Linked DNA regions of Mus musculus. The protein of the gene in region 6 interacts with the protein of the main gene of each other region in a pairwise test. Links are inferred from orthologs where the notes say so. Each region holds a gene or a part of one and is shown on either strand. Other genes may lie near its edges. The genes, in order: Mllt10, Nup160, Ppp4r1, Kifap3, Sybu, Disc1 and Dpysl3.

What was found.
Region 1: the proteins of Disc1 (region 6) and Mllt10 interact in a two-hybrid assay, tested with the Homo sapiens proteins (2 studies listed by BioGRID and IntAct). The link is inferred for Mus musculus from reciprocal best matches to the Homo sapiens genes DISC1 and MLLT10.
Region 2: the proteins of Disc1 (region 6) and Nup160 interact in binary tests that used the Homo sapiens proteins (3 or more experiments, as listed by UniProt). The link is inferred for Mus musculus from reciprocal best matches to the Homo sapiens genes DISC1 and NUP160.
Region 3: the proteins of Disc1 (region 6) and Ppp4r1 interact in a two-hybrid assay, tested with the Homo sapiens proteins (2 studies listed by BioGRID and IntAct). The link is inferred for Mus musculus from reciprocal best matches to the Homo sapiens genes DISC1 and PPP4R1.
Region 4: the proteins of Disc1 (region 6) and Kifap3 interact in a two-hybrid assay, tested with the Homo sapiens proteins (2 studies listed by BioGRID and IntAct). The link is inferred for Mus musculus from reciprocal best matches to the Homo sapiens genes DISC1 and KIFAP3.
Region 5: the proteins of Disc1 (region 6) and Sybu interact in a two-hybrid assay, tested with the Homo sapiens proteins (2 studies listed by BioGRID and IntAct). The link is inferred for Mus musculus from reciprocal best matches to the Homo sapiens genes DISC1 and SYBU.
Region 7: the proteins of Disc1 (region 6) and Dpysl3 interact in a two-hybrid assay, tested with the Homo sapiens proteins (2 studies listed by BioGRID and IntAct). The link is inferred for Mus musculus from reciprocal best matches to the Homo sapiens genes DISC1 and DPYSL3.

Annotation. Positions count from the first base shown.
Region 1 is NC_000068.7:18,161,465-18,165,850, reverse strand, and holds part of Mllt10 (protein AF-10), read right to left. Parts: intron 3,535-4,386; coding exon 2,965-3,534; exon of another isoform or gene 748-2,964; intron 1-747. UniProt on the Homo sapiens protein: Probably involved in transcriptional regulation. In vitro or as fusion protein with KMT2A/MLL1 has transactivation activity. Binds to cruciform DNA.
Region 2 is NC_000068.7:90,728,807-90,733,192, reverse strand, and holds part of Nup160 (nuclear pore complex protein Nup160), read right to left. Parts: intron 3,515-4,386; coding exon 3,373-3,514; intron 933-3,372; exon of another isoform or gene 413-932; coding exon 287-412; intron 88-286; coding exon 1-87. UniProt on the Homo sapiens protein: Functions as a component of the nuclear pore complex (NPC). Involved in poly(A)+ RNA transport.
Region 3 is NC_000083.6:65,781,637-65,786,507, forward strand, and holds the start of Ppp4r1 (serine/threonine-protein phosphatase 4 regulatory subunit 1), read left to right. Parts: upstream 1-1,718; 5' UTR 1,719-1,806; coding exon 1,807-1,813; intron 1,814-1,987; coding exon 1,988-2,032; intron 2,033-4,871. UniProt on the Homo sapiens protein: Regulatory subunit of serine/threonine-protein phosphatase 4. May play a role in regulation of cell division in renal glomeruli. The PPP4C-PPP4R1 PP4 complex may play a role in dephosphorylation and regulation of HDAC3.
Region 4 is NC_000067.6:163,782,304-163,786,689, reverse strand, and holds part of Kifap3 (kinesin-associated protein 3), read right to left. Parts: intron 3,706-4,386; coding exon 3,574-3,705; intron 1-3,573. UniProt on the Homo sapiens protein: Involved in tethering the chromosomes to the spindle pole and in chromosome movement. Binds to the tail domain of the KIF3A/KIF3B heterodimer to form a heterotrimeric KIF3 complex and may regulate the membrane binding of this complex.
Region 5 is NC_000081.6:44,671,052-44,674,096, forward strand, and holds the end of Sybu (syntabulin), read right to left. Parts: intron 2,598-3,045; coding exon 1,496-2,597; 3' UTR 805-1,495; downstream 1-804. UniProt on the Homo sapiens protein: Part of a kinesin motor-adapter complex that is critical for the anterograde axonal transport of active zone components and contributes to activity-dependent presynaptic assembly during neuronal development.
Region 6 is NC_000074.6:125,052,428-125,057,613, reverse strand, and holds the start of Disc1 (disrupted in schizophrenia 1 homolog), read right to left. Parts: upstream 3,420-5,186; 5' UTR 3,385-3,419; coding exon 3,330-3,384; intron 1-3,329. UniProt on the Homo sapiens protein: Involved in the regulation of multiple aspects of embryonic and adult neurogenesis. Required for neural progenitor proliferation in the ventrical/subventrical zone during embryonic brain development and in the adult dentate gyrus of the hippocampus.
Region 7 is NC_000084.6:43,357,953-43,362,338, forward strand, and holds part of Dpysl3 (dihydropyrimidinase-related protein 3 CRMP4b), read right to left. Parts: intron 3,195-4,386; coding exon 3,010-3,194; intron 447-3,009; coding exon 282-446; intron 1-281.

The DNA.
Region 1 (4,386 bases), on a different chromosome or scaffold from region 6:
ATTCTTCCCACCTCCTGAAACAGTTCTAACCAGAGGCAATTTGGGCCTCCTGGGGACATTTAACAATGTCTGGAGACATATTTATTATGGGGAGAGTGCTACTAGAAACTAATGAGAAGGGGCTAGGGATTGTGGTAAACATCCTATAAAAGACAAGTACTGAACACAAAGAATACCCAACACAACATGTCCAAATCACCAAGACTAAGTAAGGACGTTAGTGCAGCAATGTAATATAACTGCTCTGTAGATCCCACTAAAGTGGGGGCTGTGTGCAAACTATGACAGGCATCGATGTCATTTATTAGAAACAAACAAAAAAACTCCAGGTTGTATGACCTTGGGCTACGCTCAAACCTCAGTTTTATCACCTGTGGAAGGGGAAATCAATAGTCCTTTATAAAACTACTATAAAAGGAGATAAAAATAACAATGTACTTAATGAAACCTAACATAGCAGATATATATAGACACACACACATATATATTTATACACACACACATATGCTTCTTTCTTGAAATGATCAGTTATTTCTGCTTACTGAAGCTAATAAATCATTCAAAGTTTTGATTTATTTTGTATTTGCAAAATATACAATATGAAATTATAATGAACATTTTTCACATCTTTATTTACACATCATTTCTTCCTTCTCTCAGGATAAATAAAATTGATATTATCCATAATAATGTATCTTAGCTGAATCTTATTTCAACCTTCAGAAATCCAAAGGGACACAAAAGGGATGAAGTTTACAGTCAAGATTTATTAAAAGCTGTTTATCTCATATTCAAGAAAAATAAAACCAGACAAATGAAACTTGAAACTGTTAAGGGTTGGTGGTAGAGAGATGGTGTGGTAGTAAAGTGCATTTGTTGCTTTTCAAGAGGACCTGGGTTCAATGCCACCCGCCACCAACCCCCCAACACACACACAACTTTATCAAATGGAGATGTTAACCTCTTCTCAAGGAGATCCACTGCCGTCTCTGACACCCATTAGTACCCACACACATTTATGTAGCATCACACAGATACACATAAATGAAAATAAAAAATAAATTTTAAAAAAATGAAAAGAAAAACTTGTGGTGTGCTGTAGTGGTGCACATCTTTAATCACAGCACTCACAGGGCAGAGGCAATCAAATATCCTCGTTCTGAAGCTGGCATGGTCTACATAGCAAGTTCTAAGCTGACCAGAGCTACTTAGTGAGAACCTGCAGAAGCCAAAGCAGCTCACAATCATCTCTAACTCCAGTTCCAGGCCAGCCTATGCACACTTTTGGACTCTGAGGGCATTGGGCACTAACATGGTACACAGGCACGCAAGCAATCATACACATTAACATAAATATTTAAGAAGAATAAAATACATACTTCCTGGGGCTGGAGAGATGGCTCAGTGGTTAAGAGCTCTTCCGATGGTCCCGAGTTCAAACCTCAGCAACCACATGGTGGCTCACAACCATAAGTACTGAGATCTGACACCCTCTTCTGGTGTGTCTGAAGATAGCTACAGTGTACTTACATATAACAATAAATAAATCTTTGAGCTGGAGCGAGCAGAGGTCCTGAGTTTAATTCCCAGCAACCACATGATAGCTCACAACCATCTGTACAGCTACAGTGTACTCATACATAAAATACATACTTCCTAGTTTTTTTAAGAATTAAAAAGATTTGTAACACAAATTACAGATTACACAGAAACATACCAGTGACATAGATTCTACATACTCATTCATACTGTCATAAAAATGATGATAAAGTGAGTATGGTGAAGTACACCTCTAATCTCAGCACCAAGATACACAGACAACTGATTCACGGCCAATTTCAGACCTCAAGGTACTGGAGAGAGTCAGTTCTAGGCAAAATTGGTACAAGATTTCAAAATTAAAAATAAAAGCAAGCCTTGGGACCACTTTCAAATCTATGAAGCCAACTCTCATTTCAGATTAAAAAAATAATAATAATGGTTAAAAGAAAACAAATTTTAAATCATTTCAGATATAACTTGACACAAAATCCTAAATTTATCACTTATGGAAAAAAAGGCTCCAAAAATTCATTTTACTTATGTACAATTACCAAGAAAATAAAAAGTGAAAAATTAAGTTTAGCAAAATAACTTTAAATACAAAGATACCAAAAAAACGAATACAGACATGTTCACATTTAAAATATGAATCCTGGTTTTTTTGTTTGTTTTTTTGGTTTTTTTCGAGACAGGGTTTCTCTGTGTAGCCCTGGCTGTCCTGGAACTCACTCTGTAGACCAGGCTTGGCCTCGAACTCAGAAATCCACCTGCCTCTGCCTCCCAAGTGCTGGGATTAAAGGCGTGTGCCATCACGCCCAGATCCTGGTTTGGTGTTATACCTAATATGCAGGGGGAACAAAAACACAACTGAGAGATAAGTAATGGATGACTAATAAAGCTGTTTATATAAAGTTAACTAAGTAAAATGAGATTGATGCTAAAAATTACACCACCAAATAGTTTTCTAGGATTGTAGGGTACTTTCTTTCTCACTAGGAAATGGAAAATCTAGGGTCTATGAGAACGCTAAGAGGGTGAAGGCTGTTGCCACCTGATAATCCAAGGCCTACATAGTATATACATGTGCTACAGTATATGCGATCTCCTCCCTAAAAATGGCCAGCATGGTAACAGACAACTGCAATCCCAGCACTTGGGAGGCTGATCCAGAAGGATCAAGACTCTGAGGCCAGCCTTGGTTACAGAATGATCCTGGCCAGCTTGGGCTACTTAATAAGCCCTTGCCTTTAAAAACAAATAATAATAAAATAAACTTAAAAAAATAAAAATGAACAAATGTCAATCTTAATTAAATGTAGCGGCACTTCAGAGCTCACTCAGAACAACTGTTCACAACTCTTTGGAGTCGTGAAAGAAAGGGCTGCGGAGTGATTGAGGGGCAAACATGGCACAGACCCTTACCTGAGCCAACTGGAGACGAGCCAACACTAAGACTCTGCAAACTTCCATTCCTGAGCAGCGTAGGAGATTTCTGAAGACTAGAGCTTGTTACACTTCCTGCAGCTGATGCTACGGACGATGTTGGTGAAGCAGAAGAAACTGAGAGGTGAGAAACATTTTCTTGATTTTTGTTTCCTTTGGGTCGGCCGGGGCCATGTTTGCTTTGCTTATTTCCTTTTCGTTTCTTTTCCTTTACAGCTTCTTCTTCTATACCAGAAGTCTGAGCCCGCTTATATCCTGCTGTAGGGAGGCTCGAACTACCCAACTCTCCAGGTGAATTGTCAAAGCTTTTAGGCTGTGAAATAACAGTCGAGGTCACAGGGTGACCAACTAAAGAGCTAAAACTGTTTACTGCCGCTTCCTGGCTTCCAGACTCTCCTTTATGTACATCTTTGGTTGATGATGGCTGCTGGGTGTGAGTGTAACTGTCACTTCGCAGATCTGAGTCTGTAAAGCTTAAGAAGTCCTGGGGAGACTGCACTGAACTTCCAGAAGATGACTTTACACTGCCTGGAGTTCCTGAAAAACTGCCTGTAGCAAAATATACACAAGCAAAAAAAACAAAACAAAACAAAAAAACAAAAACAAAGGTGGAGGAAGAAGATAAATTGGATAAAATGTTCCTCTAAGCAATAGACAAATTACAATGATCAAAAAGGACAAATTTCTTAAAGTGAATTACAAAACTTAGGTCATTACCATCTAACAAATATGAGATCAGTTACTACTGAAATCAACTTCACCTCTAAAATTATCTTTTAAATAATTTGTCAAAGGTAGTATCATACATAGCTCTTACATTGTAGCCTACTCCTGAGTTAACACTTACCAGAGTTTCTCTACTCCCTCCAAACCATTAGAAGCATTATACAGGAAAGACTGAACAAACAGAGCCTGACAAAACCACAGTGTGCCCCCTCCCTCTCCAGGGGACTGTCTTTTTCCAGCATGCAGATACAACTGTAAATGTTCCAAATTATAGTAAAACTGCAAGACATTTCTCAGGTTATAAGTTATAACAACAGGCCTTATCCATGATTATTCAGCCAAATCTATCCACTCATCAAAAAAATATGACTTCATGTCCTAAGTTACACCTTATATTCTCCTTGTCCAATTTCCATGAAGCTTCATAATGGGAAAACCAGCCATGAATATCATCTTATTGATTTTAAAAATGAAGGATCATGTGGACAGATGGCTCAATGGTTAAAGAGCACTTGTTCCTCTTGTAGAGGACCCAAGTTCAGTCCCCAGCATCCACATCTGGCTCAGAACATCTGTAACTCTAGTTCCAGGGATTCTAATGTCCTCTTCGGACCTCTTCAGTGATGCACATGGTATACACAAAAACACTCACACACATAAAGTAAAAATTCTAAA
Region 2 (4,386 bases), on a different chromosome or scaffold from region 6:
GGCACTGTTCTCTCCCAGAGCCTGGAGAAGCTGGTCAATAGAAGAGTATGGGAGCCATACCATCGGGGCTGTTGCTGACAGTGGAAACTGAAAGAAAATGTCTATTGATTAAAATGACACCATTTCTTCTAGGTTGTTGTCTTTGCAGGACTCTATACATGAAACACTTTAAACTCCACCCCCTTGCCACCATTCTGAAATTAGGTGGGGCTGGTGAGATAGCAAAGGCATTTGCCACCTGGTAACTGAATTCAATTCCTGGGCCACATGATTCATACGCATTTACCTCAATTCCAAAGTACTGATGTCCTTTTCCTAATACAGCATCTACATATTCAGAGACCAAATCCACAGCTTCTTCTAAAAGGTCATAGTTCAGGTAAAGACGAAGCAACTCGGCAGCATCAACCTTCTGTAAAGACAACAATTATAAGCATGTCTACCCCAACTGGAAACAGAACCTAACAGTGCTGCATTCTAGAATGTTTTAGAAATTATCCAAGAAACTAAGTCCACAAACAACCTAAATGTATTACCAAAACATATGCTGATTGTTTCTATACAGCAACAAATTAATCAGGTTTTCCTATTAACTTTTCCAATACAATTGTATTTCAACTTATACAGTACACATCTAGGCAGGCAGGGCTACACAGTCCTGCCTCAGACCAATCAACCAATTTTAAAAAGGTTCTTAGTGTGAGCGAGCACCTCAGGGTAAGATCTGTAAATTCCCATGAGCCCAGTTACCTCCAGGCACACTGTAATATTGTCTGTTAAGTGGCTTTTCTTTTCTATTTTGTGATCTGAGACATGTTTTAACTTGTTCCTACTTCAATTGTACATTAGTAATGTCAACATGTTTTCTCAGGAACGCTGAGCACTGAAGTGGAGGATGTATGCATTAACTCTCAGAAATAATGAAATGCAAGGTACCACCAGCTTTAAATCTGTATGCAGCTCAAGGAGTGTAATGGTTTGAATATGCTTGGCTCAGGGAGTGGCACTATTCGGAGGTGTGGCTCTGTTGAAGTAGTTGTGTCACTTGTGGGTATGAGCTTTAAGACCCTCATCCAAGCTGCTTGGAAGTCAGTCTTCTCCTGTTTGCCAAGATGTAGAACTTTCAGCTCCTCCTACACCATTGCAGGCCTGGATGCTGCCATGCTTCCACCATGATGATAATGGCTGAACCTCTGAACCTGTAAGCCAGCCCCAACTAAATGTTGTCCTTATCAGAGTTGCCTTGGTCATGGTCTCTGTTCATAGCAGTAAAACAGCAGTAAGACAAGGAGAATGCTGTAACTTTTTTTTTTTTTTTTTTGAGAAGGTTTTTCTGTGTCGCCCTGGCGGTCCTGGAACTCTGTGTAGACCAGGCTGGCCTCAAACTCAAGCGATTCATCTGCCTCTGCCTCCCGAGAGCTGGGATTAAAGGCGCAGGCCAGCATGCCTGGGTCCACTGTACTTCATTACAGTGAAGCTGCCTCCTCTGCTCTGATGTAATCAGTTTTACTTCTCCCACTTTAGCTACTTTTCTCTATTTTCTTCTCCTCTTTTATGGCAGAGTTTCATGTAGCACAGGCTGACACTACATGTGGACCACATCCTTGAGCTCAGTGCTTCCCACATGCCAGGCACTCTACCAACCGAACTTTTCCGTTTTTGTTTGTTTGTTTGATACAGGGTTTTGCTATATATAGACCAGGCTGGCCTTCAACTCACAGTAATCCTCTCCTCAGCCTTCCAAATTCTGTAATTACAAATGCCTAACCAATTTTACTACTAATAATTTTTATATTCTCTTTCCTTATCCCACTGAAAGTGCTTCAGATATCATTTTCAATCAAGCGTACATCTAACCCAATCAGAAGCACTTGCCACAGCAGCATATATACTAAAACTGGAATGATAAAGAACATATAAATTCATGAAGCTGTGCTGCTATATCATAGCTTATTGCAGTGTGGTGGGAGTGTACAGAGCATAATATAGTCTTATCATCAGACAGGAAGCCAGAGGGCAATTCAGCCTCCATTGTCATTCATACCTGCTCATGAAGCATTAAAACAATTTGGCTTAGTGTTGCACACTTTTAATCCCCATACCTGGAGATGGAGGCTGGAGGATTTCTGAGTTGAAACCCAGCCTGGTTTACATAGTAAATTCAAGTCCAGCCTAGTTCACAGTGAGTTTTAGGTTAGTCAGGGCTACAGTGACACCCTGTCTCAACAAACAGAACAACTCCCCCCTAAACAAACAAAACAACAAAAACAGAAGGTTGTCAAAATGTGGAATTCTGGTTCCTGGCCCCAGATAATCTGACTTAAGACCGAGGAATTGACATTTTAAAGAAGCTACTGAGCCGGGCGTGGTGGCGCATGCCTTTAATCCCAGTACTTGGGAGGCAGAGGCAGGCGGATTTCTGAGTTCGAGGCCAGCCTGGTCTACAGAGTGAGTTTCAGGACAGCCAGAGCTATATAGAGAAACCCTGTCTCGAAACAAACAAACAAACAAACAAACAAACAAACAAACAAACAACAAAAGAAAGAAGCTACCATTCAATATAGCCCACATGTGAATCATATGTTGGAAGTTTGACCCTCCAATGTAGTAGCAATGGGAGAGGAAGGAACCTTTGAGAAGTGGGACCCAGTGGGGGGATGTTTAGGTCAAGGAGGGTCTGTCCACTGTGAAGAGATTAATTCTCAGGAGAGTGAGCAGGTATGAATGACAGTGGAGGGTGAATTGCCCTCTGGCTTCCTGGACCATATTCTGCTGTGTACAGTCTCACCACACTGCAACACACTATGATAGAGCAGCACAGACAGCTCTTACTGGAGGTCAGAATAATGAGCCAAGTGTTCTTGAACATTTCGCTTATAAAACTGTGAGCAAAGTAACCCTCTTTCTCTAAAAAGCTAACCTGCCCAGGTACCTCTTCATGGGGACAGACAACAGACTAATAGATAAGCCTCCCAGTCAAAGATAAACTCTTGTATTATCTGGGAAACATTTTACCTACTATTGTTAAGTTTTTAAACAATGATAGTAGATATTGTTGCATGAAATATACTCATTATTCTAATTATGAGCTCACTATACAATGATAAGTCCCCAGTACTATATGTGGAATTTAAGATAAATTGTTTCATCCTATTAGAGATGATTGAGAATCAAAGCATTTAAGCCAGTGAATTCTCCTTTGTCTTCCACTTCTTTTGATAGTATCTCATTTAGCCTAGGCTGGCCCTGAACTCACTTAGGCTGGCTTTGAAGTTCTTTTGATCCTTTTGTCTCTGCCTCCCAACTACTGCCACAAATGACTTGTAAACCAGTACACTTCCCAAATTATTACCCCACCTCAATACCACGTACCTTGTAACTGTTTATAAGCCAATTAGGCAGAGGAACTCCATGAGACAACAACTTGTTAATCACACAATGATGATACAAGTTATTCTGGACTTTGTATCTTTCCAAGTAAGTTGACAATAGCCTCCATGCTTCATCTGTAGCACTTGGAAAAAGTAAAAAGGACAAAGGAGTTCAGATTCCTATTCTACTAGTTAATTAGGAACTAATTAGTTAATGAATTGGGTAGACAAGGCTGCTCTTAAGACTCTCCAGAGTAGGCAGAGGCAGGCGGATTTCTGAGTTCGAGGCTAGCCTGGTCTACAAAGTGAGTTCCAGGACAGCCATCGCTGTACAGAAAGACCCTGTCTCAAAAAACCAAAAAAAAAAAAAAAAAAAACCAAAAAAAAAAAAAGTTATTTTGCCGGGCAGTGATGGTGCACACCTTTAATCCCAGCACTCGGGAGGCAGGGGCAGGCGGATTTCTGAGTTTGAGGCTAGCCTGGTCTGGTCTACATAGTGAGTTCCAGGACAGCCAGCGCTATACAGAGAAACCCTGTCTCGAAAAAACAAAAAAAAAAAAAAGACTCTCCAGAGTGCTGTGATCATAGGTGTTAGCAAACATATCAAAGCTTATTTTTTATCTATCCCCTATCTATCTATGCATCTTGTGTGTGTAGGCTCATTTGGCATAGTATCCATCTAGAAATTACATAACACTTTCGGGAGTTGACTCTCTTTCCCACCATGTACCAGGGAATCAAATTAGAGTCCTTCATAAAAGGTGCGCATGCTCTTAGCTGCTGAGTCATCTTTCCAGCTAACAACTGAATTGATAATATAACTAAATGGTAACTAGAAACTAGATGAGCTACTAAAAACATTTTAAAAATAAATCCAATAAGATTTACTTTTCTCCTATTTATTTAATTCCTCAGTTTTAGGAGTTGAAAGAAAAGAGGAATTGGCTTATATCACTGGTCTTGGTCCCCAAAACTGACCAAGCAATACATTCATGTAGAAATCAATTAAACGTTT
Region 3 (4,871 bases), on a different chromosome or scaffold from region 6:
TTAATCTCTTAGAATTTCAATTTATATTATACAATCTGTGTTTTATGTTAAGTAATATGCAACAGGGAGAGATGTTGGGGAAACGGTGGCTAACTCATTTCCCTGAGCAGATGCGATTACTTGTGCTTAAGAGGATCTGATGACTGAGTGTAGTGAGAATTTGGTTTTGTTGAAAAACACAGAAAATTTTTATGGGAATTTGTTTTTGTTCTAATCCCAGGTGTGAGATATGGGGCTGCTTCATATTGTCCACAGAAGCTGACAGTGAGTTGCCTCATGCTCTAGCAGGGGTGTGAATTTGCCAGCTACAAATAGTTTCTGCCATTTGGGATTCCGGAGACTTTCCAGAGGGTATGTAAATACTAGGGCGGGAGAGATTGGTTGCTGTTTGTTAAGTAGTTGTGAGTAAAGAAACAGGAAGAAGAAATTAGATATACCTGACTACGAAGATCAAGCTTGCTCCAAGAAGCTCATCAACCCTCATCAGCAGGAAGTAGTCCAATATATAATGATGGCCCCTTCCACCCCTACCCTTTTTTAGTATTAGGGAGTTGAAAGGGTGAAAGAAGAGGGGTGGAAGAAAGAACACACAAAGTAGCCAAAGACCACCTACAACTTGTTCTGATTCCCCGTGTTTTAAAATGCCAATATGTTGCCTTGAATTAGGACTATGGTGCAGAAAGGAACAAGCTGAACCTTTAAAATCCTCCTTTTTTCATATCAGACTCAAAAACGGGCATCATGTATGAGACTCATTTTACGGGCGACCATTCTGGAGACCTCACTGATGTTGGATTTAGACCTAAGACTCACAGAAATGGGACGGCGAACTGGAGTCAGAAAAATCTGGATTTTGCCCTACTTTGCCTGGGGAACCTACAAGAACCGTTTAACTCTCTTCAAACAAAGGGACCAGTAAGATGTGTGATAGTTCACTCGAGAAAAGCGCTGCCAATCCCAGGCACCCGGCGACCGGACTCCCGAGGTAGCAAGCACGGTGCTGGATTCCTGACAGTCTGCCATTCCCCGGAGAGGCGGAGGGGGCAGGTATCCTCGGCGATCCTCCCTGCGGTCACAAGGCTAAGAACCGCGGAGTGACTGGACTCGGCCTGGCCCGCGCGCCCGGGCCGCTCAGGGTCAGCTCGGGCGGGCGCCAGGGGAGCGCGCGGGCTCGGAAGCCGGTGCCGGGGCTTTAACGTGCCGCGCCGCACGGGAAGGCAGGCCGGCTGGGCCGGCGGAACTTTTGTCATTCAAACCGTCGTCCGGCCCGGGGCCTGGGCTTTGTTCAGTCACTCGCGAGGCCTGGGCGCGCGGGCGGAGGCGGCGCTTCCTCCACTCGGAGGCGGGAGGCTCGGCCGCGGACCGCCGGCGACGCACGAGCAGGTCTGGGAGGGGCGCGGGCGACGAGCGGCGCGCGGCGGAGCGGGCGGCGGCCAGCGGTGGGCGAGGCCGGTGACCCAACAGAGCTGCGGGCCGCGGGGACCCCGCCCGCCCGGCTCGGGCACACGCCGCAGGTCCCCCGGCGGGCAGCTCGTGCCGCGCTCCGCACGCTCGGCGCCAGGGCGCCTCTAGCCACGGGTGGGAGCGCGCCTCGGGGCCGGGCCGGCCGGGCGCGGGAGGCGGGCGGCGGGCAGCGGGCGGCGGGCGGCGCGCGGGCGGGCGGGCGTACGGGAGCCGCCGCCGCAGGCCCGGGCCTCGGCCCGCCCCGCGCGCGCCCCCGCCGGCCCGCGCGCGCCCACCGGCTCTCTACTTGAGCGGCTCGCGGAGCGGGATCCCGGGAGACGAGGAGGCGGGGGCGAGCACAAGATGGCGGGTACGTGGCCCCAGTTCCCCGGGCGGCGGCGGCGGCGACGGCGGCGGCTCCCCGCGCTCGGCAGTGCCCGGGAGAGGCCGGCGCGGGGAGGCGCCGCCGGGCGGGCGGCGGGCGGCTGGGGCGCGGCGCCGGCCCGGGACGCTGACCCGGCCTTTCTTCTCTCCCCCGGCGCAGACCTCTCCCTGCTCCAGGAGGACCTGCCGGAGGACGCGGACGGACGTGAGTGGCGGGTGGCCTGGCAGCCCCGGAGGGCGGCGGGCGAGCGGGCGGACTCGGGACCCCGCCGCGCTGGGGAGCACCCGCGTGGTCGGACCTCGGCCGCCGCCCGCAGGCTCGGGCCGCGGGGCGGCTGTTGGGGAAGCAGAAGCCCGTGGGGCGGAGGCCGGAGAGGGGACATGGGTGTGTTTTTCCTGAGTGTCTTCCGCACCCTCGCCCCGATGAAGGAGGCGGCGGGTGCCGGGAGGTGTTTCCGCAAGGCTCGGGGGGCTGTGCGGCGTGCGGTGCTCGGCCCGCCCTCGGGGGTTCCCTCGCCCTAGTGTGTGCTGGTTACATACCTGTGTTGTACTTGACCTCTGAGCCGTTTCGGGTCCCCACCACCACCACTCACTCACACATTTGATTTCCGATTTTCGGGGAGGTTAGTAGGTGTGACCTTGGCAGGATGCAGTGACTAGGTTCAGAGAGCAGCTTTTTAAAATTGGGAGTGTTCAAAGCTCATTCTGGTACTTAAATGCTAAAATTGCAGGTTTCCGTTGAGATATTAAAGTTTTTAAAGAGTTGACTCTTTTTGTACATTAAAAAACAAAAAACAAAACCCAGTCAGCTTGTGGACATTGTTTCCATGTGGTGAAGGAAATGAGTTATTTAGAAAGATATCTTTCATTTTGAGTGTGTTTTGTGTTTTTCTAAGCTTCAGAAAATAATGGTGGTTGGAGACAGAAAAGACTATGACTTAGCTAACTTTATATGGGAAGAAGTTGTGAATTACACTTAAGTAGAAATGCTTTCTACTCGTGTTAATGTTTGCAGATAGAGTGACTGGTGGAAAATGCATTTTAGGAATAAAGTGTGCACAAAATGTTATTAAGTGTAGTTCATGGGAGATCTGAAACCAAGAAATATGCAGAGTTGAGCTGGTTGCTGTGATACAAGAGCTGTCTGGTGAGGGGAGAGAGCCTGCCTGGACTGGGGAGTGTGATTTCATACCTGTTCCGGTAATCCAGAGATGCCTTCGCGAAAATTGCTCTTACAAATGCTATGCAGATAGTCAGTAGCATTGTCTGATAGGATTTTCTTTACTCCACTTAAATTCCTGTTCTGAGCAATGGGAGGTGTTGCCTTGAGAAAGTGCCTTAGTCAGCACTTCTGTTGATATGATGTAACAACATGGCCAAAGGCAACTTGAGAAGAGGTTTGTGGCTCGTATTCTTCCTTATTGCAGTTCATCATCTTCATCATGAGGGCCGGAATCTGGAACTGGAAGCTGATGCAGAGGCCATGGAGGGCGCTGCTTAGTTGTTTGTTCCTCCTGGCTCACTCAGCCTGCTCTCTCAAAAGCACCCAGGATCCAGAGATGGCACTACCAACAACAGGCTAGGTCCTCCCAACAAGGGTCCCTAAGAAAATGCCCCCCCCCCCGGATTGCCTAGGGCAAGATAAAGAGGTTTCCTCCTCAGGTGACTCGACCCTTGTTAACTTGATATAACACAAACCAGCACAGAAGGCTTCTCTAAAGAGTATTTTTAAAGCAAGCAGTCCTAGCAGACCTACCTGTTGCTAAATCTGCTCGGGGACGGACACGGGTGCTCTCCTTAAGTCGTTGTCTTTAGGGAGCAGTAGCACGGTAAAGCACAGCTTCTGCATATAGCTTTTTCTCCCTTAGCTCACTTCAATTGGCTTAGTATGTATAATCAAAGCACCTATTGATTTTAGATCTCTCCCAAGGTTAGGATTGGAGATGTTGCCCAGATGGTAATTTTGAGGCCGGAGCCTCTTGTTCTTATAAAGTGTACGTCTTTGTGTCTGGCTGTGCCTCGGACTGGTCTCAGTCTGTCTGGGGGGAATCAGGATCTTGGTACTCAGGTGGGCAAGGAGTTGGAGAAAAATGACAGACACTGACACAGAGAGAGTGCTGTATCTGAATGTAATTTCTCAAAGCGAGCATCAGACTTATATTACAGAAGAAAAAAAAGAAGTTAGGTGACACATGAGCCAAGGTACATTGAAGTTATCTGACACAAAACAGAGAAATGCATACATAAAGATTGACAGGAACCAGGCAGTGTTTACAACTGAGTTAAAAGGCAGGCCTTTCTAAAGTCAGCCCTTAAGGAGCCAGGTGAGGATTTCACACCCTAGTCACAGTTTATGCTATTCCTCTGAGCCTTGTGAGAGCTTGTGCCAGGGGGTTCTGCTCTTGCTGGCCTTTTCATGAATAATGCAATACTGTAGTTCCTCCTTAAACCACAACCCTCCTCCTCCCTAGGCCATTGTAAATACCTATGCATATGGGAGTGACTTGGCTGCTCTTGTGTCTGTAGGGAATCTCCATTTGTCAGAGGAGTTCACCAACTATCTTCTAATATGTTATGTACTCTGCTACACCTGGCTGTAATGAGGATTTTAAGTTAACTATTTTGAACTAGCCCTGAGATTTTTTTAGCTGTTATCCAGTAAAATACTGCAAGAAAGCATGCAAGACGCTCCACACTATCACAGGGACAAATCTGGTTATGGGACACCAGAGACTCTTCCAGGAGACCAGTTTCCATGAACCTTTTTGCCTCAGGAATGCGGCCAAGCTTTTGGACTTGAAACGCAGACTTCACTGGAGTGGGTGTGGCGTGGCTGTAGAAGAAACATCTGAATATTTGTTCCTTTGAGTCAGGGACCGTGCACCCCGGAAGAAGGTGTAGTGCAGTCTCTGCTTGGCTGTTGGGGAACACAGTCTGGAAGGAAGTATTTCACAGTAAGCTGGGGTAGGCTGGGTCCGAAGGAGAACGGGTCACCTCTTGAGCCCTCTAGTGGTTTATAGGCAGCTCTCAAGAGTGCTGTCAGG
Region 4 (4,386 bases), on a different chromosome or scaffold from region 6:
ATTTTGTTATTGAAGATCAGCCTTAGTGCATGGTGATCTGATAGGATACATGGGACAATTTCAATATTTTTGAATCTGTTGAGGCCTGATTTGTGACCTATTATGTGGTCAATTTTGGAGAAGGTACCATGAGGTGCTGAGAAGAAGGTATATCCTTTTGTTTTAGGGTAAAATGTTCTGTAGATATCTGTCAGATCCATTTGTTTCATCACTTCTGTTAGTTTCAGTGTGTCCCTGTTTAGTTTCTGTTTCCATGATCTGTCCATTGGTGAAAGTGGTGTGTTGAAGTCTCCCACTATTATTGTGTGAGGCGCAATGTGTGCTTTGAGCTTTACTAAAGTTTCTTTAGTGAATGTGGCTGCTCTTGTATTTGGAGCATAGATATTCAGAATTGAGAGTTCCTCTTGGAGGATTTTACCTTTGATGAGAATGAAGTGTCCCTCCTTGTCTTTTTTGATGACTTTGGGTTGGAAGTCAATCTTATCAGATATTAGGATGGCTACTCCTGCTTGTTTCTTCATACCATTTGCTTGGAAAATTGTTTTCCAGCCTTTCATTCTGAGGTAGTGTCTATCTTTTTCTCTGAGATGAGTTTCCTGTAAGCAGCAAAATGTTGGGTCTTGTTTGTGTAGCCAGTTTGTTAGTCTATGTCTTTTTATTGGCGAGTTGAGACCATTGATGTTAAGAGATATTAAGGAAAAGTAATTGTTGCTTCCTGTTATTTTAGTTGTTAAAGGTGGCATTCTGTTCTTGTGGCTGTCTTCTTTTAGGTTTGTTGAGGGATTACCTTCTTGTTTTTTCTAGGGCGTTGTTCCCGTTCTTGTATTGGTTTTTTTCTGTTATTATCCTTTGAAGGGCTGGATTCGTGGAGAGATAATGCGTGAATTTGGTTTTGTCGTGGAATACTTTGGTTTCTCCCTCTATGATAATTGAGAGTTTGGCTGGGTATAGTAGCCTGGGCTGCAGTTTGTGTTCTCTTAGTGTCTGTATAACATCTGTCCAGGCTCTTCTGGCTTTCATAGTCTCTGGTGAAAAATCTGGTGTAATTCTGATAGGCTTGCCTTTATATGTTACTTGACCTTTTTCCCTTACTGCTTTTAGTATTCTATCTTTATTTAGTGCATTTGATGTTCTGATTATTATGTGTCGGGAGGAATTTCTTTTCTGGTCCAGTCTATTTGGAGTTCTGTAGGCTTCTTGTATGTTCATATGCATCTCATTCTTTAGATTTGGGAAGTTTTCTTCAATAATTTTGTTGAAGATGTTTGCTGGACCTTTGAGTTGAAAATCTTCATTCTCATCCACTCCTATTATCCGTACGTTTGGTCTTCTTATTGTGTCCTGGATTTCCTGGATATTTTGAGTTAGGATCTTTTTGCATTTTCCATTTTCTTTGATTGTTGTGCCGATGTTCTCTATGGAATCTTCTGCACCTGAGATTCTCTCTTCCATCTCTTGTATTCTGTTGCTGATGCTCAAATCTATGGTTCCAGATTTCTTTCCTAGGGTTTCTATCTCTAGTGTTGCCTCGCTTTGAGTTTTCTTTATTGTGTCTACTTCCCTTTTTAGGTCTAGTATGGTTTTGTTCATTTCCATCACCTGTTTGTATGTTTTTTCCTCTTTTTCTGTAAGGACTTCTACCTGTTTGATTGTGTTTTCCTGTTTTTCTTTAAGGACTTGTAACTCTTTAGCAGTGTTCTCCTGTATTTCTTTAAGTGATTTATTAAAGTCCTTCTTGATGTCCTCTACCATCATCATGAGATATGCTTTTAAATCTAGGTCTAGGTTCTCAGGTGTGTTGGGGTTCCCTGGACTGGGCGAAGTGGGTGTGCTGGGTTCTGGTGATGGTGAGTGGTCTTGGTTCCTGTTAGTAAGATTCCTCCGTTTACCTTTCGCCATCTGGTAATCTCTGGAGTTAGTAGTTATAGTTGACTCTGTTTAGAGATTGTTCTTCTGGTGATTCTGTTACCGTCTATCAGCAGACCTGGGAGACAGATTCTCTCCTCTGAGTTTCAGTGCTCAGAGCACTCTCTGCTGGCAAGCTCTCTTACAGGGAAGGTGCGCAGATATCTTGTATTTGGACCTCCTCCTGGCCGAAGAAGAAGGCCCAAAACAGGACCTTTCTCAGACACTGTGTTGCTTTGGCAGTTCCCAGGTGGTACAGACTCTCACCTAAGCAGACTAAATTCCTAAGTTCCTTGGAGTCCCGGGACCAAGATGGCGACCGCTGCTGCTGTGGCTTAGGTCGCCTCCCCAGCCGGGCGGGCACCTGTCCTCTGGTCCGGAAGGTGGCCGGCTGTCCCCGGCCCACACAGGGTGCTGCCTCAGCGCCTCTGTGCTTCCGCCTGTTCCAGAAGCTGTCAGGTTCTCTGGCGCACCCTCTCACCTGTTCAGACTAATTTCCTAAGTTCGGCGGGTCCCGGACCAAGATGGCGACCGCTGCTGCTGTGGCTTAGGTCGCCTCCCCAGCCGGGCGGGCACCTGTCCTCCGGTCCGGAAGGTGGCCGGCTGTCCCCGGCCCACACAGGGTGCTGCCTCAGCCCCTCTGTGCTTCCGCCTGTTCCAGAGGCTGTCAGGTTCTCTGGCGCACCCTCTCACCTGTTCAGACTAATTTCCTAAGTTCGGCAGGTCCCGGACCAAGATGGCGACCGCTGCTGCTGTGGCTTAGGTCGCCTCCCCAGCCGGGCGGGCACCTGTCCTCCGGTCCGGAAGGTGGCCGGCTGTCCCCGGCCCACACAGGGTGCTGCCTCAGCCCCTCTGTGCTTCCGCCTGTTCCAGAGGCTGTCAGGTTCTCTGGCGCACCCTCTCACCTGTTCAGACTAATTTCCTAAGTTCGGCGGGTCCCGGACCAAGATCCAATGCTATCTACTTAAGGCAGTACTTTCACATGTGCTCCTAGCTGCCCGAGCACCCTCGATTCAACACAACATGGTATAAGTAGGAATTCTTTCTAACTAGTTACCAAGTCAATGCTATGCAGCGGGAAGAGGGTTGAGAGAGAACATTAAGTCATATCAAATCTTCTCTACTAGCATAAAGTTATTGAAGGAAGGTAGGAAGTTTACCAGCAAAACTTCAGAATAATGAAAAAGAACAGGTCCCGAGGGACTCTCTTAAGTCAATAAGGGAAAGTGAGCAGGATGTGGACCTAAGTGCAGTCTAAAAGACAGCTTGTCACATACTAGCATTCTTCAGAGGACCAGGAGGCTTTCAGGAGCCAATTCAAGATCTGTGCCCCATTTGGGAACATCTGAACATCGCACCACTCCCAGCAATTCTATGGGAGAAGGAATAGAGGATTTTCTAAGACTCCGAATTTCTAAATTAAGCAAAAACTCCCATATAAACATATCTTTTGTGATTAATTTCACTTAACATTACAAAAGTTTTACTTTCTCTAGAATATATTCCACATTTATACCATTGAATGCAATCTTTCCTCGACTAAGTTGAAGTGGTCCAGAAGGATGTTATAACTATTTATTGTCTATGAAGATTAAAATAATATCATTTGTATGAAGGTTATATAAAAGCTCCTATTTTCATAATGTATACAAACTGAAGGACACTTACATTTTTTGGCATTCCTTTCGTTCTCCCAACATGGGATCTCCCATTTCTCCAAGAATGGTAGCTTCCACTTCATACTGAACAATGAGAGCTTTTTCTGATGGATGTACATCAATATTCCCCCCTTTAACTTTCCTACAAAAAAAAAAAAAGATTAAAGTCTCACAGGACATCCATAACTTCCACCCTGTTTCTACATCTAAACTAAAAAAAATGAAAGCCATCCTATGTTCAAGGACTGGATCACTCATTATTCAGAGAGTAGTATTTTCCCCAGACGACTCAGGGAGTCAACAGAACCCCCTGACAGCCTAGAGAAGGAAAAGACAACATTAAAATTTACATGGAAACAAAGACCCTAAACAACAAACATAATCTTGATAAAGAGCAGCAATGTTGTGGGACTCGCCCCACTCAATGTAAACACTCCCAATTGAAGCAGTACATTATCAGCTCAAGGAATAGTCATATTAATAGTGGATTAGGACTGACAGTGCAAGATATGACCTATGTTTACAGCCAGTTAATCTTCAACAAGGATGCTCCAAGTATCCACACAGAGCAAGAACAATCTCTGACAAACGATGCTAAGAAGATTAGATATTCTTAACCACCATATACAGTAATTAACTCCAGTGGAGAAGAGACCAGCATTTAAGACTTTAAACTATAAAACATAAGGAAAAGCTTCATGACCTTGAATTTAGCAATGGTTTCTTAAATACGGTTTCAAAAGCCACAGTAAGTATTAATAAATTAGACTTCAACAAATCAAAATTGTTGACAGTACTGACATATTCAAGACAGTAAAAAGAC
Region 5 (3,045 bases), on a different chromosome or scaffold from region 6:
CCCAGATCACCTCCATTTCTACAGTAAGGTAGAAGAGGCATTTTCATCGCTCATACATTAACTCTTGGCTCTGAAAATGAACTTAGAGAGCTTGAGCGGTTTTGCTGTCTGTGGCTTTTTAGCTCCCTGTTTATAAAGTAGAACACCTACTTCTCAAGGCTACTAAGAATCAATAATTACTGCAGATCCCCTCCTCCATCCGCCCCAATCCTTTCATTGAGAGAGGAGGAGGAGGATGGAGAATAGATGCTACTCTTGGAATTTCCCTCTCCTGGGAGTCTAGCAAGCTTAATAAGCCGCCCACCTTTCCTGGAATGAGTGCAAACGTGCTGATTGTGTGTGCAAGCAGCTGCATGCCTTATTTAAATAAACAGGGCTACCCTTATTTTCTATATAATACTCTTCAAGGTCAGGCATAGTTACCTTTTTCAAGAATTTTTATTTTTAAGTGTGTGTGAGACAGAGGGAGAGAGGAAGGGAAGGGAGGGGGAGGAAAGGAAAGAGAGGGGAAGAAAGGGGAGGGGAGGGAAGGCAGAGGGTCTTTGTGAGTATCTGCCACAGTATTTGGTCAGAAGGTGTTGTGAGCCACATGGGTGCTGGTGGTAGAATTCAGGCTCTCCACCAGAGTAGTTAACTTCTGCTCTTAATCACGGAGCATTGCTCCAGGCCTTCATTTTGGTTTTAGTAATTATTTTTTCTTTCTTGTTTTCTGGTTAGCTTCATTTTTATAGAATCTTTTTGATAAAGAATGATCTATTTATTTGACTTATATAGTAGTAAATTCATAATTATAGGAGACAAACATTTAAATGGAACCACTAACCTTTATTTTCATGCTTTAAGTATGTGGGTACAAACAATTTCCAAAAAACACTATATATAATAAGCAAAAAATAAGTTAGTACATTGTAAATTTACATAGTATCACTAACTGACAGGTTTAAGAGCAAATGAGTCTTATAAGACTTTGGAGCTACATTAAGTTAAAAAACAAAAATCTAAACACTCAAACTTTATCAACCTCAAGACGATAAAGAGCTATTCAAGTCTTTGAACCAATTACACAAGTACATTTTTATTTTTGGTTACAGTCCCCTGCTATGCACAAGAGCATTGGAATGCTGGAACAATTACACATTTTCAAACGGCACAAAGCAAAGCAAGGAGATAACATGCCAGCCTTAGAAAGGCTGTGGTGAAAGTGCAAACGGCATTTTCTCTTCCTGAACCATTAGTATAAGAACGGGCACCTCAGACAACACGGCAGGGGCATAAGCATGCTTTCTACACCACTCTGGTGGGACAGCTACCAGAACCAGGTTTCCATGCCTTGGAAAATACCTCTGGTTTAAACAGTGAACAGGCTTCAACTGACTATAGTGCAAATCAAATAGCGAGAAGCAAAACTGACAGAATAGAGACTTCCACTGATCACCTGCTGTTGCTCTACCTGGCATCAGGCCACACAGATACATTGGCACACAGTAACAACTAATTAGGTTTTCATGTGGAAAGCGGTGCGGCGTAGTGAGTGTAGGGCCACCACACAGCAACCTCGGAGCAAAGCTCCGATGTTGTAGACAGGATCTGTACCCCCTCTCTGAGTACTGAATGCCCACAGAACAGTGGGTACCACAGGGGCAGCCACAGCCAGTAGATCCACCAAGAAATTGCTGCTCCAGTACTGCCTCACAACACTGCCCTGGGACAGTGAGAGGACACTGTCCAATCTTTCTTCTGTGTAGGCTGCAAAATCTAGCTCTCTCATGAGGCGATTTGCATGGGCTTCCATAGCCCCCTTGCTGAATGGGATCTCCACAGGAGACAGAAGGATGGCCGAGTTAGGACTTCTTGGAGTTAAATCAAGCATTAAGGCAGAGATAGATTCTGAGAAGCTTTCCATCGAGTCAGCTCCAGATTCATCTGGAGATGCTGAGCTTGTGGGACAGTAGTCCTGCAGCTTTAGCACACTCTGAATGAGCTCTGAGATGGCAGGGCTGAACGGCACCACGTCGGTCTGCACGGCTTGCTCCATCACCGCAATGCCCTCTTCGTGGCTCACCAAGGGGAGAGCCTTGAGGGCTTGTGGCCCTGGAGTGGAATGAACAAACTCCAGGCCACTGGATTCTGTGGTGGTGGCAGTCACCATCTCATCTAACAGATCTGTGCCTTCAGCCATGCTGTCTCCCACCAGAAGCTCACTGTCAGCACCTTCCTCTGTTATCTGTTCTTCCAGAGATAACCCATCTGGCAACTTGTCAAATGTGCTGCTCAGGGGTAAACTTTTCTCTGGGGAATCAAAGGAAAAGTCAAGACACAGTTCATCCCTCAGGGAACTATTGTGTGCCATCTCCATGCTTTGAAGCAGAGACTCCAGTTTCTTGTTTTGGATGTTTATGTCCACAAAGTACTTCTGAATGCCTTTATCTTTATCAGCCAAGCTGCTCCTCATAGTCTCGATGACCTGTTTGAGCTGTTTAATCTCTTTTCTGGCTTCTTTGAGTGCCAACTGAGCCTCCACTCTGTGGCACTCTTCCTCAATCCAGTCCTCCCTCATTCGAGCCAGCTGAGACTTGAGCTCCATGATTTCAGATTCCCTATAGAGAAGGTAGGCACAGTTACAAGCAACGTCAACTTTGAAATAGCTAAGAGTCGACAGCAGCCACAGCACAGGCTCTTCTAAGTCTCAGTTTCAGGAGTGTGTGTGTGTGTGTGTGTGTGTGTGTGTGTGTTTTGGCAAGTATTAGCCAGGGAACTTCCCCCTCTGCAAAACAGCTAAGTTAATAATAGTAACCAGAACCAGAATCAAAATAGCTGCCATTGTTTGCTTTTTGAATACTCACTGTAGAGCAGGGTATGTTCCAAGTACTTCATTAGCATTATCCTCTATGCCAAACTTATTTTGTATTTTACTATCGATTTCTTACCCTACATCTAACTCTGTAGTTTACTTCATATATACATATATGCATATATAATGTATATATATATATATACATATATATATAATATATATGAACAGTTGTGAAAGAAAGCTCATTTCAC
Region 6 (5,186 bases):
TGAGTGGGGGTGGGCCAGAATGTATTTGTATGTAATTCCCAAATAATTAGTAAAAATATTACATTGGGGGAGAAAAGCAAAGTTCTTTCTGTGATTTACTCTTACTTTTTTAAGGTCTGCAATTATGAAAAATGCCAGCTAGAGGTTTGACTGAGTGCTAAAGTGCTTGCCTAGCACTGCACAGAGCCCTAGGTTTGATCCCTAGTGCTGCTTGCAGGTAGGTAGGTAAGCAGATGGCTGGAGATAGATAGATAGATAGATAGATAGATAGATGATTGATAGATAGGTAGGTAGGTAGATAATTGATAGATGATAGATAGACAGACAGGTTGATGGATAGATGATAGATAGATAAATAGATAGATAGATGATTGATAGATTGATAGATAGGTAGGTAGATAATTGATAGAAGATAGATAGACAGATTGATAGATAAATGATAGATAGGTAATAAATGATTGATAGATAGATGCTGAAGATAGGTGATAGAGACAGAAGATATACAGATAGATGATTGATAGATAGATAGATAGATAGGTAGGTAGATGATAGATAGATAGATGATAAATAGATAGATAGATGATAGATAGATGATAGATAGATAGATAGATAGATGATAGATAGATAGATACATAGATAGATACATAGATAGATAGATAGATAGATGATTGATAGATAGGTAGGTAGATAATTGATAGAAGATAGACAGACAGATTGATGGATAAATGATAGATAGGTAATAGATGATTGATAGATGCTGAAGATAGATGATAGAGACAGAAGATATACAGATAGATGATTGATAGATAGAAGATAGATAGATAGATAGATAGATGATAGATAGATAGATAGATAGATGATTGATAGATAGGTAGGTAGGTAGATAATTGATAGATGATAGATAGACAGACAGATAGGTTGATGGATAGATGATAGATAGATAAATAGATAGATAGATGATTGATAGATTGATAGATAGGTAGGTAGATAATTGATAGAAGATAGATAGACAGATTGATAGATAAATGATAGATAGGTAATAAATGATTGATAGATAGATGCTGAAGATAGGTGATAGAGACAGAAGATATACAGATAGATGATTGATAGATAGGTAGGTAGATGATAGATAGATAGATGATAGATAGATAGATAGATAGATAGATGATAGATAGATGATAGATAGATGATAGATAGATAGATAGATGATAGATAGATAGATAGATACATAGACAGATACATAGATAGATAGATAGATAGATGATTGATAGATAGGTAGGTAGATAATTGATAGAAGATAGACAGACAGATTGATGGATAAATGATAGATAGGTAATAGATGATTGATAGATGCTGAAGATAGATGATAGAGACAGAAGATATACAGATAGATGATTGATAGATAGAAGATAGATAGATAGATAGATAGATAGATGATAGATAGATAGATAGATAGATAGATAGATAGATAGATAGATAGATAGATAGATAGATAGATGAAGATAGGTATAAACGGCAGAAACAGAAGACCAGGTATTACCTTTGACCAGGCAAAGGTCCACGCTCAGCCTGGGCTCCACCTGACACCTTCCCTTCAGCCTGTAATTGGAGACACCTGCATCTGACTTTGAGCCCCAGTCCCTGTTTAACCACCAGGGCCACAGGCAGGTGACTCCAACCCTTGCCACATCCAAGGGAAGATGAGGATGGTAGCACCAGCCCCTCACCGGTGTGAGGGGGACCTCATCAAAGGGCAGGACCAAGTGCCTGGCCCATGCACTCTCTGCAAAGTGGCACCTGTCGCCTGTAGGCTGTCACCTGCCCCAGTTCCAGATGTTCTGCTCTCCATCCCAGGGCAGCACTCTCAGGGCTAAGGTAATAATTACAGCCCAGGTGCTTTCTCTTTCTTATAAACAGAAGAGAAAGCCCGAGACTTGGAGAGACAGCTCAGAAAGCAGGTTTCTCATCCAGGGCTCTATTTGCTGTGGGCAGAATCCTGGCTAAACCTCAACGGTCTCCATGTCAGGTGCCAAATGTCTTTTCAAATACCCTGTAACTCAGACACTAACATGTCACACTGGCATTCCTGTATTGCCCACGATTATTTAGGTCTTGCATGGTCAAAATAATACTTAAGGACCCGTGCGTAGTGGAGCACACCTGTAATCCCAGCACTTGGGAGGCAAAGGCTAGCAAATTGGAGGCCAGCCTGGGCTAGGCAGCAGATTTAAGGCTAGCCTGGGCAACTAAGAGATTTTTGAGAATTTGCTTTGTATCGCAGAGATTTGGCCAGGGGTTTCATGTCCTCCTACCACATTAAACCCCTTTTAAAATCTACCACGTAGGCAGGAAAATCAGCTCCATTTTACAAATTGAAAAACTAAGGCATTCCCGAGTCCAGGATGCGGGTGCAGAAGACTCTTACCCTACACCCACCTACCAACCCTGTATTTTCCAACTCCCAATTGCAAAAATGTCTTCATAGAAGCCAGTTAAGGAGGTAGGGAAGCTAGTGATTAGTGCTCCTTTCACAGATGGGTAAACTGAGGCTCCAAGAGCCAAAAGAAGCTCCTAAGTCCTTTGCCTTCTCTCCTTGGCACAGCACACGCCCAAACTGCAAAGCCCAGTCTGGAGCAGATCTCCGTGCTTGTTTTATTTTTCATTGTTCTGATTTGATTTTGGTTTTTGAGATAGAGTCTCACTATTGTAGCCCAGATTGTATTAGAAAGTCTCCACAGTCTTCCTGTCTCTCGAGTGCTAGGAAAAGAGGCGTGTGCCATCACGTTCTTTTCTTGGGGTTTCTGACAGTGAGTTGCTGAGGTTGAAAAGCGGCCACCCACTTAACTCGATGTCATCACCGGGGTTGGTACGTGGCCCAAGCTGACAGAGGAAATGGAGCGGGTCCCCTCAGCCTGCGCTGCCCTGCGCGTCACAGTCCACACTCGGAAGTGGGCGGCGAGCAGCCCCACGGGAGGTGCGGGCTGCAGTTCCCACACCTCTCTCAACCTCGCCCCGCGTCCCCGCAGCGTCTGCGCCGGCCACCCGAGGGAGTCCTGGGATCGAGCTGCACTTGGGCGCTGCGGAAACCTTCGCGGCCACCGGGACCTCGCAAGGAAGGAGTGCGGGCGCGCCCTTCGCCGACTGCGCCTCAGGGCGGCCGGACTCTCGGGACGGGGACGCGCTTGGACGGGAGCTGCAGTGGGAGCTGGGGACACGACCGCCCGCACCCTGCACTCCCCGCTCACTGCCTCGATTTCCCTCCCCTGCATCAGGGTGCGCCCGGATCTCGGCAGGCCTCGTTCGCCCTCCTCCAGAACCCCGGGCCCTACCTGCGCCGTGGCTCGGACTGTGGATCGGAGCGCCCCGGGGACCCCCGCCCTGCATCGTGCGGCCGGCTGCGCCCCGGACGGCGGTGACTGTGGTGGTGATGGTGGTAGCGGCGGCCGCGGAGGCGGCGGGAAACGGGCAGGGGGCCGAGCCGAGGGCTGGCTTCTTCCTCCTGCCCAGGACCGCCGCTTCCTCTCCAGCCTCGGCCCCTCGCTAGCGCGCGCGCGCCGCCCCTCGCGGCTCCCAGACCGCAGCGCAGAAAGTTTTGCTTTTCACTTGGAGGAAACCAAGGAGGGGAAGTGTGATGGGGCAGTGTGGCCAGGGACCGAAAGACTGGGCGCTTCCCAGACCCTGGGAGTAAAAGGCGGGGTGGTCAAGAGAGGGACTTCTTCCTACCAAGTCGCGGTGAAGCCGAAGGAAAGTGACAGATGACAGGTCGGGGGGGGTGGGAGCAGCTGTTAAAAATGACTTGAGAATCGAATCTCTGGCAGCACGGGGCTGGCCAGGAGCACGGCACAAGCCTTGGCTTGTGCCAAGCTCCTGGCAGCTGGCTCACCTCCCCCATCCCTTCCCTTTGGCTGCTTCAGCAAAGCACCTGCTACAGGACAGTGGGTACAGGAAGTGCCAGTCAGGGGTTAGGCCCGTCATAACCTCGCCTCTGGACCCCGAGGCAAAAATAAACCTACAAAACTGAACTGCATGGAGTCAGCCGGAGACCTGACTGTGGGTGGAGCATGGGGCAGTGGGAAGAAGCCTGGGAGAGTGCGTGCTGGAAGGGAGGAGCCTGTGGCCCTAGAAAAAAGACCAGGTGCTGGAAAGGTGGGCCAGAGCAGTTGCCTCTTACCAGGAACCTTCGGGTAAGCACGGGCGGATGCGGCTGAAGTTGATAAAGACATGAGCAGAGTCAGGATTTAGTGCAGTGGGTAGGGTAACAGGGTTGAAAAAGGCACTGTGTTGGTATCCTAGTTTGCTTTACCTGTCAGTGTGACATAGCCTAGGGTCCTGTGAGCAGAGAGCTTTAGTCCATGATTACCTAGATCAGATTGGCCCGTATCGCGTCTGTAAGAAAGGTCTGGACAGTTAACTGGCCTTCGAAGGCCCAGCCCACTGTGGGCGGCACCATTACCTAGGTTTCGAACTATCCAAGAAAGCTAAGTGAGCTGAAGCCCATCTACGAGCCAGCTGGCAAACAGCGTCCTCTGTGGTTCCTGCTATACCTGATTGGCAGTGAAGTGAGCTCTCCATTGGAGGTTAATGCTGTGTGCTATAGCAAGCAGGCCTGCCTTAGGTTCCTGCCTTGACTCCCCTCAGTGATGGCCTGCGATCGATCTGAAGTGGTCAGCTAAAACGAATGGAACGCCTCTCCTCCTCAGGAGGCACTCCGTAGTAAATACAGTTGAATTGGCCAGCCTGCCATAAACACTCTCAGGTCTACCTGACTCACTCCCGAGGATAACTAGGCATACCTCTGAATATATAACATAAACTGTCTTAAAACAGGGGCTGGAAAGCTGGCCCAACAGTTCAGAGCACATAGCATTCTTGCAGAGGATCAGAGTTCAGTTTCACAGCATCTATCCTGAGTAGCTCACTGCTACCTGCAATTGCAGCTCCAGAGGACTAATCAGGCACCCTCTTCTAGCTATCCCTGTCACCATCACGCAGACAGACAGACAGACAGACAGACAGACACATACACAAAATGAAAATGAATGTTTTAAAACTTACAAAATTATCAGAATCAGATTAAAAAAAAACCTCAGTTGCCACTTTGTTCATGAGCACCTGTACACATGCGTGCTCACAGATGCACACACATAAAAGTGAAGATAGTTTCATCTCCTGGGAGCGCTCACCAG
Region 7 (4,386 bases), on a different chromosome or scaffold from region 6:
TGTTGCCTACGAAATGTCACCTCAAGCAGTTATCCCGATACCCCGCTTTTTCAGCTTCAAAGTGACGAACAATATTTATCCCACGAAGATCCTACAAAAAGTAAAGTTACATAGAGAAAAAGGAAAGTGCCTGGAACAAAGTAAAAGTCCCTCACACAGCCCTCATGCTTAAGGGACGAGACTCGGAACTCGAGGAGTGACTCCCACGAGCGGGCGGGATGTTGTGGGAGACGCAGACAAGGCAGCAGAGAGACGAGGCTGGAGCGCGTGCTTTGACTCACCTTTTTCCTTGCTGAGGCTCTGTACCTCCTGCTTGACGCTGTCATTCCAGTGGGTGATGTCCACATGCAAAGCATAGTCACAGCAGCTCTTCCCATCGGCCCACTCACGCCACTTTTCATAGGCCTCTGTCAGGCTAGACTCAGGTTCAGGTACCACGTGGTCAACTGAAGGACAGAGGGCAAAATGGGTGACTCGGAAACAGTTTGGTCTCCCTGTCTCTATTCCTGCTCCTTCCAGCTTGGTTAACTCGGGGACTTGGAACAAATTAGTAGCTTTCTGAAACCTCAGTTTTCTTTTCTTAAAAATGGGTGTAGAGTAGATGGGGAACACGTTATGATTGTATTTTTCCGTCTGAGTTTTCCATATGACTAAGTGCAAAATGCATATATAAGGTGCTTCACTGATACCTGGCGCATATTAAGTGTTAACTCCTCATGACTACCTGCTATTTTTATGTTGTGACTACTGGCTCTGAGTCACTATTAATGGCCAAAGTTGTGTTCTCTTCCCTGGATAGAAGAAGAAGTTCTAGATGTATAGCAGGCATGAGTAACCAAAGCCCATGAACTTGCTAACAAGAATAAGTTTCTCTGAATTCAAACCCACTTTTCTCTGCAACCATGGATGATACATATTTTTAAAATAATTGTGGGTATGTCTGCATCTGTTTGAATCAGCTGCTGGGTGGAGCCTCTCAGAGGACAGTCATGTTAGTCTCCTGTCTTAAGCATACCACAGTATCATTAATAGTCTTGGAGATTGGTGCTTGCCCATGGGATGGGTCTTAAGTTGGGCTGATTGTTGGTTGGCCTTTCCCTCAGTCTCTGCTCGATCCTCAGTCCCTGCATTTCTTGTAGACAGGATAAATTTTGGGTTTAGAGTTTGGTGAGTGGGTTGGTGTCTCTATCACTCCATTGGAAGGACTGTGGGAGGGGGTGACCAGGAAGAGGGGCAGTGAGCAGGGTGTAAAGTGAATAAGTAAAAAAGAAAAAAAGTTAAAACAGTAATGGAGGCATGGTAGTGATCCCAACACCTGGGTGGCTCACTAAAAGCTCAAAACCAGCCTAGCCTGTGTAGCAAGATCCTAATATCTCAAAACAAACAAAACACACCATGCCTAAATTAAGAGAAATGATATTAAGTAAAATTATATTTGTATTTTAAAAAAATAATCATTGTGGTTGTTATAGTAGGGATTTAGCAAAAGCTCTACCCTCACCTGGGCCACAACGGGTAGCTGAGTTAAAGTGTGAAATTGGTTCAGCTTTTGGGAGGACGACATCGAAATATATATCAAAACTCTGGACATTTTCCAGACCAGACTCAATTTACTCTCATGCCTAAGCCTCATGCCTAGGAAGATAAGTTGTAGCTGTCAGCAGCATTTAGTATCTAGACTGTACGCTGATGCATTTACGAAAATGAAAAATCGAAAGTGGCCGAGGTTGAAAAAAATTGAGAAGTTTAGTTTAAAACATAGAGACACTTTTCACAGAGTGACGAGAGACACCCATTTTAAAAGCTGAGGTAGAATGTGAGCAAATGACTGCCTGGAGCAACATTCGTGATCCACCACTTAGTGGAAAAAAAAAAATCACAGCTTTAAATATGGCACAGATACTAGGATCCTGCTGTGAACTTGGAAACTGCCATAGTAAGAAACTCCAGCAGTGAATAGGGTTACGTGGATCCTTTGCCTTGCACACATCTAGAGTTTCTAAGTTATCAATAAAGGGCAAGAATGCATCTGTGGCTCCTTGTAAGCTTTATTCTTCGCCTAAACCTCCCATCTGCTCTCTGCTCCTTTGCTCATGGAGAAAGACCAAGTAGACAAGACTTTACAAGCATGCAGAACAGGCCCAGTTCCTGGCCCAGATGGCAGCCAGCCAAACCAAAGCAAGAACCACGCATTTCCTCTGTCAACAGAGCCCGAGTGCACTGATGGGAAAGCATAATGCATCCAGCTACATCAATACTGTCTTCAAGGACACCAGGGCTTTCCTGGGCAGAAAGCTGCTGAGAAGTCAGCTGGCTTCCTTTTATCAGTTGCGGGGAAAGGCTCAGGCCTCCCTGGACTGCACCTTTTATGGCCTTGCTAAAGTTGAACCCTGCTAGTGGTTCAGTCAAAAGGAAGGTCAAGACAGACTGTAATTCTGGCTCAGGCTGCTCTGTGCCTGTGGGTAGAAGAATAAGCTGTTAAGTAAATAGTGCTGTGTCTGAGTTTGAGGCTAACTCTGGGCCAGTACCCAATTCATTGAGATTCCTTGGAACAGGAAGGACTGCCTGAAATACTATCAGTTCTGTACTCCAATAACATGCAATTTCCCAAGTTTCTCTGGAATTAGTAATTACCAGAAGCAAAAGAAAAGAAAAATAAAAGAAACCGCTCACAGCTTTCCTAATCTTAAAGATACAAATTGGTCAGAATATAGCAAAGACCCAATAGCACTAAATCCACCGAGACCCACTAATCTCCCAAGAACTGTCAGTCTCAATGATCATTCTTTCAGACATATCTTTCTCTGGTTGTTTTCAGTAACATTAAGTTCATGGACGTCCTTTGTGTAACTACAGGAAGTTGGCAGTTTTCCTGCTTTTCCCACACCCAGGGTCACATAGCTTCCATGAACCAAACTGAGAGAAGTGTGTATAATTTCCGTATTTTCAGAGGGCAGTGTTTGACACCTTTCTCAAACCCACAGGGCTGGGCAGTACGAGAGAACGTACTGATCATGGTGGTGCCTCCCGCTAAGGCAGCCTTTGTCCCTTGGAAGAAATCGTCCACTGTGGTCATTCCCTTGTAAGGCATCTGGAAGTGGGTATGGACGTCAATGCCTCCAGGGATCACCATCTTCCCGTTGGCCTCGATGGTCTTCACACCTCCGGGGACAATCAGATTGTCTCCAATTTGCCTGACGAGACAGTGGAACAACGGACAATTAAATGGAGCGATCCTCAAGACGAGCGTAGGATGTCTAAGCAAAGACAGATAGCTGTGTATCCAAAACTACTGCCCCAGCATCATCTGCATGGCACTGTGTTATGGTTTGGTACTGAAATCTAAAGATTGCCAATGTCTAGAGTCAGTGCGTGACTCATATTTTTATATAACTATTTCCATTATTTCATTCACTTTGTTTTTTCTCTCTATTGGTGTGGGATCACACTGGGGAAAATGACAAGGAACGAGAAATAAATGACTGTTAGGTGCAACAGAAGATAATAACTTGGTACAACAACAGGCATGGGGACTTAGTCATCTGTGCCCTAATCAAAGGCGTCTGCTTGAATCACCACCTGCTCAAGTTTCTTTTTCTTACTCCACCATTCCCTGATCAGCTAATAATGCCTTGTTGCAGATGCACAAGGACAGCATCAAACATGCAGCTCTCTCCCACACCCTCTGCTTTTGTATGGTCAGTATTTCAATAGAGGCTCCAGACAAAGAAAAGTAATTATGGTAACCCCGAAGGCTTCAGAACATCCCAGGAAAGAGTGGGGGAATAAACTCATTGAATACATAAATGAGAGTTTCAAAGGTTCATCTCACAAGAATGTGATAACTATTCCCCACAAGGCTGTTTGCAGGCCACTGGTTGCAACATTGCCTAACTTTTTATTTTATTTTATTTTTTAGCTTTGATTTAGACATCTGGCCAGGTCTGCCCTCATAGTATACCTAGGATTCACAGTTTATACTAATACTAAATATCTCCTACCTTGGGCACATATGTGCCCCACTATTTTCCCTTCTGTAGATAGCCCCCCAAATTCTCTTGGGGTAGTAAAAAGTCCACCCCACTGCTGACCAGCAAACTGTAGGTTCACAGCTAATGTGTTCCTGACATGTCTAAGAGTTCAGCTCCACCACATCACCATGGGGCCATTCCAGGGCCACCACAATTCAAAACACACTGTGAGGGGAAAGAATGCAGCCTCTGACTGTAATTCTACTTTAGTCCAGATACTGCCCAGTCCTGTTTCTGTTTTTCTTAGGTTTTCCTCCAGGAGAAATTGAGAACCAAGAGGATGAAGAACTGATGGACCCATGTGGCGTGTGTTTATATACATTTTTATATTTTTTCTACTCATTTTTATAACTAG